Linked DNA regions of Oryctolagus cuniculus. The protein of the gene in region 1 interacts with the protein of each later gene in a pairwise test. Links are inferred from orthologs where the notes say so. Each region holds a gene or a part of one and is shown on either strand. Other genes may lie near its edges.

Evidence for each region.
Region 2: the proteins of EHD3 (region 1) and MICALL1 interact in binary tests that used the Homo sapiens proteins (3 or more experiments, as listed by UniProt). The link is inferred for Oryctolagus cuniculus from reciprocal best matches to the Homo sapiens genes EHD3 and MICALL1.

The regions. Positions count from the first base shown.
Region 1 is NC_091433.1:171,394,715-171,397,181, forward strand, and holds part of EHD3 (EH domain-containing protein 3), read right to left. Parts: intron 496-2,467; coding exon 1-495. UniProt on the Homo sapiens protein: ATP- and membrane-binding protein that controls membrane reorganization/tubulation upon ATP hydrolysis. In vitro causes tubulation of endocytic membranes. Binding to phosphatidic acid induces its membrane tubulation activity.
Region 2 is NC_091442.1:114,741,434-114,745,246, reverse strand, and holds part of MICALL1 (MICAL-like protein 1), read right to left. Parts: intron 3,492-3,813; coding exon 3,403-3,491; intron 2,673-3,402; coding exon 2,530-2,672; intron 2,524-2,529; exon of another isoform or gene 1,169-2,523; intron 790-1,168; exon of another isoform or gene 220-789; intron 68-219; coding exon 1-67. UniProt on the Homo sapiens protein: Lipid-binding protein with higher affinity for phosphatidic acid, a lipid enriched in recycling endosome membranes. On endosome membranes, acts as a downstream effector of Rab proteins recruiting cytosolic proteins to regulate membrane tubulation.

The DNA.
Region 1 (2,467 bases):
GAGGTGGGCGGGCAGCTCGTTGGGCAGCTCGTGCCCCTCCAGCTTGACTTTGATGAGGTGGTTGGCCAGGGCGAACTCCTCGTCATCCAGCATGCCGTCCTTGTCAATGTCTGCCAGCTTCCAGATCTTGCCCAGCACACTGTTGGGCAGCTTGGAGCGCACCATCTCCTTCTTCGCATTAGCGCCTGTGATCTTGCCGTCCACCGGGGACAGGGTGTAGAAGATCTCGTCGTACATGGGCTTGTCCCTGGCCACCACCCACTCTGCATCGTCGATGCCCTCCCCAGCCCCTTCCCCGTAGCCATGCCCGAAGGGGCCGTGCAGGGTGCCCTCGAACGCTCCTCCCTTCACCATCTGGACGGGCCGCTGGGTCTCCTCCTGGCGCACCAGCACCATGAGCTGGGCAATGTCGTGTGCCAGCATGTCATCCACCACCTCCAGCAGCTTGCTCTTCAGCGGCTGGAATTTGCTGAAGTCCTGGGCCTGGAGCTGGTCCTGGGGAGAGGGAGGGAGGGAGGGAGACAGTGAAGACACAGGAAGGGAGGCAGCAGCCGCGTGCTGGCGGTGCGCTTCCAATAATGCCGGGACGTCCACAGCCCAGCTCCTATCCCCAGGGCTAAGTGGGTCACCTCGGAGAATCGTGGAAGACAGGAGAGAGGAACAGGAGAAAAGGCACAGTGGGCCAGGATGGAGTCTATGAGCAGTAGAAAGGTGGCAGGGACAGGGGACTTTAACAAGTATGGGTTTGGTCTCTTGTGATTGAGAGTAAACCATCGCGCTTCTCTTTATGCCAGCTCGGCTGTGGAATGGATTCTTCTTTCTCAGGCATGCGTGGTTGCTTATGGGAATTGGCTCATAAGAATATAGGATACACGTGGGGGAAGGGTGACTTGGGACTGGAGTCCGGGGGTCTCTGCTTTAATGAAGCTTGAAGACGCTTCATTATGAGTACTTTCACTGCGTCCCCTCGGTCACTGCCCCAAGGGGTTGAGAAGTCACACTCCACCCCCAGTGAGTGAGAGAAGCCGAGAGCAACTGGAATCAAACCCTACTGGCAGCCAAAGCCATCCTCACAACCTACAGATGTCCAGGAGGATGCTCATGGGAATGACCCGGAGAGAGTTCTCAGAACACTGGTTTCTCCCCTGTGCGTTTCAGCGGAGGGAGGGGCAGGAGCAGACTTTCCACGCTCCCTTCCTTGCCTCTGTGTGACGACCCACCCTCCACTCTGTATGGTTCTGTCACGTTCAAAGGCCCTAGTCTACCACAGCCAGCTTCTCCTTGGCCTCTAGGGGGTGACAAGGGGAGCACTTTGTGTTCTTGCCCTGGCTCTGGCCATAGCAACCCCAGAACGCTGGGAGGAAGCCAGCACACAGGGACAGGCGTGTTGGGTTCACTGCAGAGAAATTCAGAAACACCCTCAGCTACATTTCAAGAGCGAGTGTGAACCTGGATGCTTCTCACCTCCCTCCTAGGGGCAAGGCTAGGAGGCAGTGGGGGCTGATCGTGGTCTGGGAACCCAGCAGACATGCCTCTCCCTGTGTGTTTAACCCTAGAGGCTCCCAAGTAGGGCTCCTATTGTCACCTGTGGGGGCATGGTGGGTGTGCCCATCACCCCCACCACACACACACACACACACACACACACACACATGACAGCCGTTCACCCTGTTGATTTAGTAGAATCTACAGAGCAGACAGGACACCAGACAGGCAAACAAATGAGGAAGTGCAAAGCACTGATGCTGCACAAGGCTTCTTCATATTAAAAAGCAGGTGTGCGACCCCTTTCAGAGGCCATCTTCCCAAAGATTTGTCTACAGATCATTAAAGTCTGAACCGAAAGACAAAGAGCAGAAGTGCTCCAACCAAGCAGTTTTGAGATCGGTGCCTGGCTCCCAGTAGGCGGTTCTAGGGATGAATGACCAGGGGTACATGCCTCCTTGGGATGTGTGTGCGTGGGTCCTCTTAATTTCACTAGATGGGAAATGGCAGATGTCTCTCAGTGCCTGTGATCAGCTGAGAACCTGCTTCCCAACCTAAAGATGCCAATAACCACAAGAACAAAGTCTGTTACTCGTGCTTCTGTGGCTGCTAGCTTTTGGTTTTCCAATATTCTGATGAAAAAAAAATTAAAAATTTATTTATTTTTATTTCATTTGAGAGAGAGACAGAGAAATAGAAAAGTCTTCCACCTGCTGGTTCACTCCCCAAATGCCCACAACAGCTGGTCTCGGGCCAAAGCCAGGAGCCCAGAACTCAATCTTGGTCTCCCACGTGGGTGGTGACGACCCAAGTACTAGAGCCACCGCCTGCTGCCTGCCTCCCATAGTGTACATTAGCAGGGAGATGGAGTAAGAAACAGAGGTGGACTCAAACCAGACCCTCCAATTTGGATGCAGGCTTCCCACATGGCATCTCAGCCTCTGCACCAAGTGCCTGCCCCTTTAAAATACTTTTTTCTGAG
Region 2 (3,813 bases), on another chromosome or scaffold:
GAAGGTGCCCTCCTCAGGCCCGCTCCTGTAAGCCCCGGGGAGCAGGGTGCTGGAACACTGCCGACACCTGCCGGGCGACAGGACGGGGCTTCGCTGGGCTGTCCCTCCGCCCTTCCTCCCAACTGGCTGTCCCTCCGCCCCTCGTCCCAACTGCCGGCCAGAGGGACCCCAGCGCAGCGCCCTGCACCTCCCAGAGGAAAAGGAAAACGGCACCCCTCAGGAGCAGAGTGGAACAGTTAAAGTCACGTGCAATAGGCCACAGGAATTGTGAAACGCGCCTCCGGCGTGCGCTGCAAGAGGAAGAAGCCGGGGTCCCCGGCAGAGGTGCCACACAGTGCGCGTGTGGCCACGTGGCCGTGGCAGGAAGTCCAATCAATGGCTTTCACCCAAACGAGTCCAGAAGGCGGCAAAGTCCGGCCGTTCTCCCAGACCCTGCCTCCAGCCGTGCACGCGCAGACTCGAGCTCCCGTCACGGCTGTGTGTGCCGGGAGCGCCTCTGGCTTCCTTTGCGAGTGCGTTTACTGCAACCTGCGGCTCCTCCCCAGGACGCCCCAGTTCTGCGCTGGGTCCCCTCGCAGGCACCGCACTAACCCACAGCAGGTGCAGGCTGGAATCCAGTCGTCGGCCTCTCCTGGCCGTTCCGTTTCCTTCTCTGCTGTTTTTGGTTGGGCTGTTTTGGTGACGTGTACGATGTTTTCATCAATTTACTAAGTTTCTTATTTTCTTTGCCTCCTGGTGCATTTTATTAAAGCCTGGCTTTCCCTGGGAGTCACACACTTAAAGTTCTCTCTCACTTTTTTTTTTTTTTTTTTTTTTTATTTTATTTTTTTTTTTGACAGGCAGAGTGGACAGTGAGAGAGAGAGACAGAGAGAAAGGTCTTCCTTTGCCGTTGGTTCACCCTCCAATGGCCGCCGCGGCCGGCGCGCTGCGGCCGGCGCACCGCGCTGATCCGATGGCAGGAGCCAGGAGCCAGGTGCTTTTCCTGGTCTCCCATGGGGTGCAGGGCCCAAGCACCTGGGCCATCCTCCACTGCACTCCCGGGCCACAGCAGAGGGCTGGCCTGGAAGAGGGGCAACCGGGACAGAATCCGGCGCCCCGACCGGGACTAGAACCCGGTGTGCCGGCGCCGCTAGGCGGAGGATTAGCCTAGTGAGCCGCGGCGCCGGCCTCACTTTTTTTTAAGATTTACTTATTTATCTGAAAGGCGGCCGGTGCCGTGGCTCACTAGGCTAATCCTCCGCCTAGCGGCGCCGGCACACCGGGTTCTAGTCCCGGTCGGGGCTCCGGATTCTGTCCCGGTTGCCCCTCTTCCAGGCCAGCTCTCTGCTGTGGCCAGGGAGTGCAGTGGAAGATGGCCCAGGTGCTTGGGCCCTGCACCCCATGGGAGACCAGGAAAAGCACCTGGCTCCTGGCTCCTGCCATCGGATCAGCGCGGTGTGCCGGCCACAGAGCGCTGGCCGTGGCGGCCATTGGAGGGTGAACCAACGGCAAAGGAAGACCTTTCTCTCTCTCTCTCTCTCTCTCTCTCTCTCACTGTCCACTCTGCCTGTCAAAAATAAATAAATAAATAAATAAAAAATAAAAAATAAATTTATCTGAAAGGCAGAGTTACAGAGAACGAGGGATCTTCCATCCACAGGTTCACTCCCCTTAAAGCAAGTTCTTATGGTTTTAAAAAAATTCTTCCCTTTTCTCAGTGGCATTTAAAGTACACACTGTTCCCGTGGCTGGTGCTGTGGCGCAGCAGGTTAAGTGGCACCTGCAGTGCCAGCAACCCCTATGAGCACAGGTTCAAGTCCCGGGCGCTCCACTTCCAATCCAGCTCCCTGCTAATGCACCTGGGAAGGCAGCAGAAGACGGCCCGGGTGGTCGGAGACCTAGACGGAGTTCTGGGCTCCTGGCTTTGGCCTGACCTAGCCCCGGCCTTTGTCCCACTTAGGAGTGAACCAGAAATACTCTGTCGTTCTGCCTTTCAAACAAAGAAAAAAAGAAAAGTTTTTTTTTTTTTTTTTTTTTTACAGGCAGAGTGGACAGTGAGAGAGAGAGACAGAGAGAAAGGTCTTCCTTTGCCGTTGGTTCACCCTCCAATGGCCGCCGCAGCCGGCGCGCTGCGGCCGGCACACTGCACTGATCCGAAGGCAGGAGCCAGGTGCTTCTCCTGGTCTCCCATGGGGTGCAGGGCCCAAGCACTTGGGCCATCCTCCACTGCCTTCCCGGGCCACAGCAGAGAGCTGGCCTGGAAGAGGGGCAACCGGGACAGAATCCGGCGCCCCGACCGGGACTAGAACCCGGTGTGCCGGCGTCGCAAGGCGGAGGATTAGTCTAGTGAGCCCCAGCACCGGCAAAAGAAAAGATTTTTTTTAAAAAGTATTTGATGTTCCTTAATCATCAACAGGTAGCCACCCTCAAAGAGCTTGGGCTGCTGGGAGCTCATGGATGAAGTGGGAATGAGCCACGCGTGGGTGCCGAGTCCCTGGCTCTGGGGATGGTAGGAACAGGCTCCTGCCCCAGCTCTCCTGGCCACTCACCGGAAGCAGTGCCGATGGTAGAGCCTGCCCTCCACCAGGTACCGCTGCACCAGGTGCACGTGCTGCCGGCAGGCCGCGCAGGTGCTGCTGGGAGTCCGGTGGGTGCCCTGCTCCGACAGGCTGCCCGAGGAGAGCTGCTCGACCTGCAGGGCACAGGACAGGCGGAGAGGGGGTGGGGGCCCGGTCACAGCCACCCTGTTCCAGAACACTCCCCCCGTCCCCCTCCTCCCCCGTGCGCCAAGCTTCCTGGTGGTGATGCAGAGGGCAGAGGACAGCAGGCTGCCTCCTGCCCCCACCTGCGGGAGCCAAGGGCAGAAAGGGGGGAGACTCGCTCAAGGCCCGGAGCCAGGATGGAAACCTGTGGTTCCTGGTTCCTGGGGCCCTCCCCTTTGGGACTGACAGACCACTGGCCTCCTGGGCCCACCTCATCTGTCTTCTCCCCTTCCTAGCTCTGGGACCTTGAGCCAGCTGCCCGAGTCTCTGGGCCTTGGGATCCCCCCGGGGGAAACTGGACTGGTACAGCCCTGCCAGCCTCCATCCCAGCCTCCCCGGAGCCCCTCAGTACAAAGCGCTGCTCTCACTTCCTCTAAGCTTTTTGGAACAGGCAGCACGGCCCCCGCTTCCCTGCTGAGTGACCTTGGGCAAATGACTAAACCTCCCTGAGCCTAGGTTCCTCATCTGCGTTTCGGGGCCTGCAGCACCCACCTCCCCGAGCTGCCTGCGGAACTGAACCGTCACACTGGATCAGGAATCGGGAGGGCACCCTGGCCCACGGGGACGAGGGCAGAGAACATCCTCTGACCAGAGTCCCCGCGTGACAGTCGCCGCCATGACAGCTGCCCCCTACCCCCTTCCCACCCCATGCCTGCCTACCTGAGTCTCCTGTCCCGGTTCCTCTGTAGGGGGCGCTAGAGCCGGCGGAGAGGAGGCTGCCGGGTCCCTTCTGGGGGGTGACACGCCAGCTGCCAAGAGACAGGAGAGGGGCCCTGAGGCACGTGGAGACCCTGGAGGCCCAGGCCTGGAGGAGGGCCGGGCACAGGGGTGTGCTGGGAGCTGCACGGCCGGCCATGTGCGGAGGGCAAGGCGCCCGGCCCCGCTGAGCTCAGTAAAGTGGGGCAGGGGAGGGGGAACTCCCACTGCGGGTAGCCGAGGGGAACAAGAAGGCAACAGCACAGGTGCGGGGGTGGGGGGGGAGGCAGTGCCTGGGGTGACAGGGAGGGCGGGGGCAGGGCCCTCCCCCACCCCACCTCGACCTGGGCTCCTGTGAGACTCAGCTGCGTCCTC